Linked DNA regions of Arabidopsis thaliana. The protein of the gene in region 1 interacts with the protein of each later gene in a pairwise test. Each region holds a gene or a part of one and is shown on either strand. Other genes may lie near its edges.

Region 1 (4,549 bases):
TGTACCGTGGAGAGAGAGTTCCCGGGGATGAAAGTAGTTCGCATTCCAAGAGAAGACAAATCAGAGCTACTACGACGGAGGTAGATCAAGTAAAACAAGAAGAGAATAATAAATGTGAAACAAATTGGAACAGAAAAGATAAATGCTTGATATAGTTTAAGCTCCGGCGAGCTCGTTGCAGCTGAATAATTTTCCGGGTTTGAATTACTATAAGACATCACCACACACAAGACAAAACTAGACAAGCAAAGTCTAAAAACCCCAAAAAGTCTCCTCCTTTGAATGAAGAAACCAGAGATCGTCAAGATTCAAGATTGGAGTTATAAAAAAAACAATAATTGAAATAATGTATGTGTGAGAGAGAAAGAGAGATGTGGCAGAGGAGAGGTTTCAGGTGAAGCATTTAGCTTTCAGTATAGGGCAACTGTCTGTTTCCTTGTTATTTTTAAAGAGGAAAATTAAAAAAAGTTAGGGGGCATTAATAATGAATTTGAGAGATTATTGAAATGTTAGATAACTTTTCCCGTAGATTCTGGCCGAACAAGCAAACAAGAAACAAAGAGGAGGGGAAACGTTATTACTTGCACCGATCATAATCCATTAATCCGACAAATCCTTCATTTTGTTGGCCATCACCAAGTTGTCAACCTCAAGGTCTTGATTGTTCTCTTTTGTAACCAAATGGAGACACGTACCAGATTGCTTTTGTTTTTTCTCTCTAGATTCATAAAGTACTTATCCATAAAGAAGAACAAGGACTTGGTTAGTTCAAGGGTACTTTTGATTGTCTTGAAAACATTCATTTGCCTTTCTCATTATATATTTAGTTGGACATGAATATGAGTACATGACTTATCTTCTATATTTTCCTTTGACATTCTCCCTCTAAGGCCTAAACTGTTTCAAACACTGTAATTTACAGGGAGGTTTATTGTTACAGATAACTCAAACACGGACCTCAGTATCGATATAGCAGGAACATGAGGTCATAGGATCTCCAACGCTCTAGCTTTGTTGAAACCGATAACTGTTTCATTTTACGCGATCCTTTCCTTTGTAGGTGTCTTTGCGGTTGAATCAACAGAGCTGAATTTGCGGACAAGTATTTTGAAACATGGGAGAAACATGATGTATAGTGCAACGATCACAAATGGTGCCGCTATGAGCCATCCTAGTAGCTGCATAAATAAGTTCTTGTTTTAAGCCAGTTATATGACAACCCAAACCAACTTGTCATCGACATAAATCACGAGAGGAAACCAATATTATCTTCAGATTTGAAAAACACTGACAAATGACAACATACTAGAGAAAATCCCACTTGGAAGATACTGAACCTAAAGATTCTGGCAGGAAATGCGATGAGCAGCTTCGCATCAAATAGAAATCACCAACATCTACACCACTAAGCTAAGACAGAAGAACCTTACCGCATTTCCAATGCTTAAAAAAACATCTCGGGAAGCTTGGCCTGTGAAAACCTTCTTTAGGGCATCAGATGTTAAAGGAAAATGAGGTCCACCGGTTATTTTTTCGCCAAGTCGTAAGAAAGGCACCACAAGACTTCAACGTGAAACACATTTTAAAAAATACACATAAGGGTTCAATTTGATACTGGTAACTGGAAAAATGAATAAAAATCTGTTTTGTGTTGTCTCTTTGTATTGATTTAAGGGGTAACTTTAAAGGAAACTTGAAGTGGAAAGTAATTGGTCACCTTAGTTCTATTGGAGTAGCAATGAAGTTAGCCAACATCACAGTTGGAGCATGACAAAGAGATCCAAGCGACGCAATAGCCACTCCACATAGTAACACCGTAACACCTATCAAAACGCAAATATCCCATTGAGTGAAATGCTTTAGAGATTCACAAACACTATAATGTTCTATGAGCAACTATTCCACAAAAGAAAGTAGCACGAGAACGCACCACAGATTGGAAATACTCCCATGGTAATACCCAATGCCGCAGAAAAAGCCAGCTGCTTTGGCTCAGCACCTCTAAAGGGGAAACAAATCAAGCTTGGTTTTAAATTTTTACGACATCAGCACTCTCACAACACAGAAAATGGCGAGTCTTTACAAGCTACATGGTTACACAACTCTTCACAATGGTCTCTAGTGTTGAAAATAAGAAACCCACATAGCAATACTAAAGGTGAACATGTAGCACAAGTTATCTACTTGGTTCCACGAAATGGTATCAAACTACATCGATGAACAAGTAACCAACTTTACGATACATAGAGACCAATTCATCAAAACAAAATATGAAGAGAGTAACAGAATATAGAACCTGCGCAAGATCTGGATAAGTGGTTCACTGATCTTCTTATCGAACCAAACTTTCAATCTACCTTTCGAAATCGCCATAAGAATTGTTCAACAAATTCGATGAATTTCTCAGCAAGTTAGAGACGAAGAACACTTCCAACAAGTAATTGAATCAAGACTTGAAGTTGTATGATGTTTACTGACACCTGAAGAACTCAAATCGGTTTCTCTTATCTCCACCGCTAAAAGGAACCCGAACCGGGTTCGGGTAAACGGGTTAAAACAATTATAATGGGCTTTTACGTGTTTTTTTAATTGGGCTTTATAAAGTCCATATCACTAAACCGGGTCGACCCGGTCGTAATTTCTTCCCTCTTCTTCTAGATGCTACTATTATCGTTCTCCCGCTAGTTTCAAAAATTTGTCACCATTTCGAAATCTCTCAGAAGGCGAGAGCTCGCGTAAAGATTTTTCTCCGATCTTCAAATTCGTGTGAAGAACTGATTCAAAACTTCTAAAAATTTCATATATTTCTCTGATTTGATTGATTAGGTTTGAATTGAAGAAATCCGAGAAGTGAAGAAGAAGAAGAAGAGATGGAGGAGTATCTACAGTATATGAAGACTCTCCGTTCTCAGATGACTGGTAATAATATTCATCTCCGCTTCTGATTTTTTCCGATTTGAGGTGAAATTTCAACTGGCGATTTGATTCGATTGAGGTTAGATGTGGAGGATCATGCGGCGAAGGTCTCCGTTGAGGAACAGATGCAGGTTACAACAATCAGTACCTTGGAAAAAGATCTCGAACATGGTTAGCTTCTCTCTATCTCTCTCAGCGTTTTCGAATTTTAGAAACTTTTCGTTGATATGGACGAAATCGTACGGAAGATTCTAGGTCGTGATCTTCGTTGATATTATTGCTAATTGGAAGTAATTTGGTTTAGGAACTCCATAGATTGACATATTTTTGCTGTTAGCTATCATTGATGTCTTCGCTCAGATTTGGATTTGGTTGTTTTGGATCATTATGTACACAGCTTCATACATACTCTTTTTGATGAGATGTTATTCTGAGTTTTCTTATTTTGGTATCACTATTCGAAGCATTGTCTGAGACGAAGAGACTGAAAGAGGAGACGGATCAGAAGACGAGGACAAGAGGTGAGATATGCTCACATATACTTGAGAAGCAGAGGAAAATTTCGTCGATGGAATCTGATTCAGTTAATATTGCACAGGTATTTAATAAACTCTTATGAAAGCCATGAGTATGTCTTGTAGAAGCAGAAGTTAGTACTGTGATTTGTCACACAGTTGTATATCTTGTGCTTACACTTAGTAAACATGTATCCTTTGTTGTAGAGTTTGGAGCTTATTCTTCAAGAACGAGACAGTTTATCTGCTAAACTCGTATCGAAACGGTAATTCAGAGAACATCTCCCTATATCTAGATTGCGGTTTTGGAATCACCTGACTCCTGTGAATTTACATTGTATCTAATTGTAGTTCTAACTATCTCAAGACGGCAGAAGAAGCTAGAACCAAACTAGAGGAGCAAAAGGTTTGTTATTTGCATATCCTGTTCATGTGATCTCATTGGCTGTTTACCAACACAGTTATCTTTCTGTTGTCCTATTTTGGCCAGGGCTGGTTTATCTCCCATATGAGCAATGAAACTGGTCAACAAGGACATGTTCGTTCTCCTATGAATACTTATAAGCTTACTTCATTACAAGACACTTTCAATATTTCCATAGTAACTGAGGTTAGGATCCTTGATACTTCAGAAAAAAGAGACAAGGAATAACCTGATGGAACTATCAGATTCTGCTAGAGCAAAGCTTGATCAAGCAAAACTGATGAGATCCAACCTTCTTCAGGAAAATTCGAAGGTTATTTACTTCAGATCCACTTTTTACTATTGGTAGTTTTGGTTCTAGCACTTTGTATTTGGGATATGTGTTGTTTCCTATTTATAAACTTAGTTACTTTTCCCTTTCCAGTAATTCCTTAAATAAGAAGAAAAACAATTTGGAGTACACAGATTTGTCTCTTTAAGCAACTCTGAATTATATAATTTCATTTCAGATCAAACTATCAATTGAGAATGTGAAGCACAAGATTAATGAGTTTAAGGTAATTACCCTCTGTAATCTTTGCTAGCATTGTGATGTTGCTGTTGCATGAGTTCAGTCATGTAAGATTTTGCCCTGCATCTGATACTATACTATTTTCTGAATTCGTCAACAATGCAGCCAGAGTTAATGTCAGTG
Region 2 (4,647 bases), on another chromosome or scaffold:
GAATGAACCAATCATCTTAAGAACAAACCGCATAAAAAGCTGCAAATTTTGAAAAGGGCTAATTATCGAAGCTAAGAAATCCTCCGCTTATGAATTGAGCTCAGCACAAGAATCCGAATACCAGAGATATACATCACAGAAACTAATCTAGGAATGATAGAAATTCTGATTCCATTAAGAGCAAACAAAACGGAGCTTGGTTAAACACTAACCAGAAAAGAAGCAGCAGATTCTAGTGACCGATAATGAAGTCGCTTCTAATCAGAGAGGGCGTGCGAGCCCCCGAAATTAGGGTTTCTAGGTGAAAACGATCGACAATTGTAAATCCTCACTCGTACCTTCGCTCTCGCTCCTCCTAATTTGGACCAGTGTCGCTATAAATTTCTGCAGAACTAACTAGAATGCTATGCCTAGTGAGTGTTACAATTTGTTTTGTCAGAAAAAAAACACCCTGGTCTTTGTTTTTTTTAATAAATGGCTGGAAAGCCACTTTCTCTGGAAAATAAAGCTAGAATGCCACCTTCGTATTTTCATTTTCTTTTACAATTTTGTTTTAAATCAAAAACTAAGGAAAGGTCCAAAAACCCAATTTCAATATTGAAAACTACCAACCCAACCTAAAGTATCCGATTATCCATTCCAAATTTTATGGTCCAACCCTGAACCTCAAATCTTAGTCCATTGGGTTTTAGCTTGCAAAATATATGTTTTGTGGTTTTGTGTGTCCCACTAGTGGCCACGACTTACTACAAGCTCAAGTATTCGCGATTTAGCTGAAGAAAATTGAGCGTGCGGATCAGCCAAATCCGACTTTTCATGGTTCAGGCGAACCGGCAGGGTTTTCGACCCACATTTTGTTCAATATATGAACCAAACTTATGATTATTACGACTCCAATTTTACCAGATACATCCACACACCAAACAAGTCTCATCTTTCTTTACACAGATGGTTTTAGACTTTTAGTTTTCAACTTTAAACAAACAAACAACACGTTTTGCTTATTAGCAACACTAATCTGTTGCTGTTTCTGTATTCATAGCCTTTGTATTTTTTTTTTCCGTGTATCTCAATGTTCCGCCGCACCCGAATGGTAAGCTCTACGCCTCAACTGAGATTCCCCTGATGGCTGTTGCAGATATATCCTCGTTGGATCATTAGGGTCCACGTACCTGCACATACACAATGACGACCACACAAGATTTTATGAGGAACAACAGCTTTTACTACTATCAAAAAACTTTCCGATTGATTTCTGATGGGACTTACGCATGTCTCATCATTTCGTCCACAGGTGTCTGAGCGGCTTGAAGAGGATCAACATGAGGAGCTGCCGCTGCTGCTTCTGCTGCTTGTTGCATTTGTCTGTTGTATTGTCTCACTGATGATATGAGATTCAAGAAGAGAGGAACAAATGTCCCACAACCACCTTCCTTAAATAGGATCTTGAAACTGTGTGTTGAATATAGAGCTCTATGCTCATTTTCTGGCACCACCTGGAAATTTTGTTACATGCCAATAAGTAAATATGTATAGTTTCCTTACAAGGAAAGAAACTATAAATTCTCCATGAAAGTTTGTACTTACAGGCTCCACTTGTCCAGCAATATTGTTGCAGTGAAATATTGGCTGATTAAATTTCTCGGCATGGATGTAAAGCTACAGAGTAACATATAATCCATAAGCTAATATGTAGCATGTAGTTCCATAACCAAATTTAACAGAGCTACACTTGTGCCATGTATTAACTAAATCAGAGACAAAAATAAGATAAAGTTACTGTACCAGGGGCATGTCAAAAGCAACAAAGTTGTCAACAGGCTTGCTTGAAACAAAGACCATCCGTATATTAGACAAGTAAATCACCCCCTTGGCCTTAACATGACCTCCATGCCCTCTGGATCATACAACAAGAAAGAACATCAGGGAAGTGTTTAAAGCCCAGAGCTCATATGTCTGTTCACTTCTGAGACTTATCTTATTTACAAGTAAACTTAATGGTTCATATGCTAGATGAGTGGATCTAAACCGACTCAAAACGGTACTAAAATGGAGACCAACAATAATCATCAAATCAATAAACCACTTAAGGAGATCCAAAACATGCGTGACGAGAGAAGGGAACACGAACCCAGGGATCTTGTCGACTTCAAACTCAACACCATCTCGGACTAGGACGAACATTTCATTAACAAAGGGAACAGGCATCCCATTGGGTAGTAATTGAGGGTTTAGCGCCATGAACTGCAATTCAGATTGATCAAGCCAATGATTATATAATTCCTTGTTCTGTTCTTCTTCTCTGCGTAACCTGATCACACAAATGAGAATATAAACACATTTCCAAATATACTTAGACAATCAGAAGATAATTCAAAGGAACATGCTCCAAATTAGCAAATAATTATTCACAGATCCAAGTAACTAGAGCCAATTAACATCCACATATCATCAGCTTCCAATTTCAGATATGCAAAAGAGCAAATAAAATTGAGGTTTTTAGCTAATTCAAATCGAAACGTTCCTATAATGTAGAAACAAAGACTAGGATTAATAATACGTGTTCAAAACAAATCAATCAACAAAGAAAATATCTAATTCCTTAGAGAATCAAAATCTGATAGCAATAAGAAAGCAGTAACAGAACGATCCAAGTTCAATTTCAAGCAATCCTTTACTCGTAATTTTCTCGCGAATAGAAAAGCTGAAGGAACATACCTGGGTCTACAGAGCTTAAAAGGATTTTGATCGGAGAGATTGAAGAAGAAGAGGATAGGGGTAATAAAAGGGCCAAGATCACAGTTTCTCGTTTTTTCCAGAAAAGAGACGCGACGCGGTTTATTCTTAAAACCTTCTAACCATTTTATTCGTCCCTCTACTTATTTCTTTAGTTCGATTTTCGCCCGCAATTTGATTTCGTTACAATTGTCCCCATCTACAGTTACTATTTGGGCCTTATTACATCTCAGATTAAAGGGACCGTTCAGCCCATTTTCAGTTGTTTTAACTTTGGTTTCGGTTTAGGTGTTTATTTATTTTTTTGACATCTTGTTTCGGTTTAGTTTTGGTTTGGATTGTTTGAGCTTTCGATTTTAACCAAAACGTGAAGACGAGTTTTAGAGATTCTTGTTATTGTTTTAGCTATTTATAACAAGTAGTTACCTAAAATGCCAAAATCATTAGCTTAAGATTAGGAGTTTTGTTGTTTTTAGAACATTTTGCTCAGTACAATTTAGAAACCACTTTCAAAAGAGTATTCAGCTATGCTTCTATAGTCCTATTATCTATATGAAACTTTTGATAAACTCTTCAAAATAATGATACAAGTTCTTTAATTCTGCAACAATTATACCATTTTAATAAAACAACCAATAAGATACAACAAGTGGCAGAAAAAAGCATATTATTCCCTTCCAAGACAAGTTGATCGATTTTGTGATGTGGGATGGAAAGTGTAACTTTGAGACAATAATGATTTGTAGATTATATTAGTAACAATTTATTATTTATCAGCAAAGACAGAGAGAGAGTTCACAAACAGCATCATAATGTAGAAGAGAAAACAAACAACAAACAAACAAACAAAAAACTTAAATACAAGCCTTAAGAAACTATCAAGGGTTGTGAATAGTATAATCTGCAGGTTTCTTCAACAAAACTTTTTTAACGGTAGTTTCTGTACACAGGGCTGTACATGCTGCTCTCTGCAAACTTGACAAGATCCTTTGCACGTGGCAGGTTCGACGCCAATCCTACACCACAATACATCGATTTTAGAACTTGAGATTAGAGAGTTCAGACAGTCTCATTAAAAGAGTTAAGACAGTTTCATTCAACTAACCGAGGTCATAGGTTTTGGCGGCGACACAGGCTGCAATGTTAGCAGAGATCTCTCTGATGTTTGAGAATGGCGGGTAGATCAGACCATTGGCGTAATGCTCTTCTGTCACTTGTGCGGCCAATGCTTCAGCTGTTGAAAACATGAGAGAGAGATGACATTGAGAATCTTTAAGTGTCTTTATCAGTATCCATGTTTGATTTTCTGAAGTTTATTTTTACTTACAAGCTGCGAGGAGCATGTCATCACGGACACGAATTGCCCCAGACATGATCAAACCAAGACCCAGACCAGGGAAAATGTAGCAATTGTTTGCCTGAAGTTAAGTAGGATAGTGGAAATATGATGTGAGCTCTAAGATTGTCAGATGTACAAAGTTGAGAGAGAAGAAGTTGTTGAAATAGCACGAACCTGGCCAGGCAAGTAGGTTTTGCCATCGTACACAACAGGATCAAATGGGCTTCCACTTCCAAAGATTGCACGACCCTTTTTTTAAGCACAATATATGATTAGATTCGAGGAGCAGCATGAAAACCAAATTATAATTTTGTTGTATAATCAGGAGTGAGGACATGAATCACATTTAGATGTCATATGAGACAATATTATACCTTGGTCCATGTGTAAGCCTGTTCAGCAGTACACTCAGCTTGAGAAGTAGGGTTTGAGAGAGCAAGAATCAACGGTTTCTATAAGCCAACACCAAGACCAGCATTAGAAAAATAGCATAAATACCTTGTTTTCTGAAAAAGCAGAGAGTAAGAACAAGAAGAAACCTCGTTGTTGGTAGCCATGGCCTCGACAACTTC

Evidence for each region. Proteins that work in one complex are often made in the same cells at the same time.
Region 2: the proteins of AT1G33490 (region 1) and AT5G11680 interact in a protein complementation assay, tested with the Arabidopsis thaliana proteins (one large-scale study listed by BioGRID).

Annotation. Positions count from the first base shown.
Region 1 is NC_003070.9:12,149,904-12,154,452, forward strand, and holds AT1G33490 (E3 ubiquitin-protein ligase), read right to left. Parts: upstream 2,558-4,549; 5' UTR 2,374-2,557; coding exon 2,297-2,373; intron 2,209-2,296; exon of another isoform or gene 2,002-2,208; coding exon 1,931-2,001; intron 1,824-1,930; coding exon 1,718-1,823; intron 1,564-1,717; coding exon 1,431-1,563; coding exon of another isoform or gene 1,398-1,430; exon of another isoform or gene 1,179-1,397; coding exon 1,038-1,178; 3' UTR 785-1,037; downstream 1-784. Other genes in the region: AT1G33480 (RING/U-box superfamily protein), read right to left, coding at 6-218; AT1G33500 (tropomyosin), read left to right, coding at 2,871-2,919, 3,001-3,087, 3,381-3,514, 3,639-3,697, 3,783-3,837, 3,922-3,969, 4,064-4,168, 4,365-4,412 and 1 more.
Region 2 is NC_003076.8:3,757,057-3,761,703, reverse strand, and holds AT5G11680 (classical AGP protein), read right to left. Parts: upstream 2,896-4,647; 5' UTR 2,719-2,895; intron 2,312-2,718; 5' UTR 2,242-2,311; coding exon 2,132-2,241; intron 1,898-2,131; coding exon 1,786-1,897; intron 1,660-1,785; coding exon 1,588-1,659; intron 1,497-1,587; coding exon 1,270-1,496; intron 1,173-1,269; coding exon 1,070-1,172; 3' UTR 791-1,069; downstream 1-790. Other genes in the region: NADP-ME2 (NADP-malic enzyme 2), read right to left, coding at 3,664-3,752, 3,842-3,970, 4,064-4,154, 4,250-4,324, 4,450-4,527, 4,615-4,647.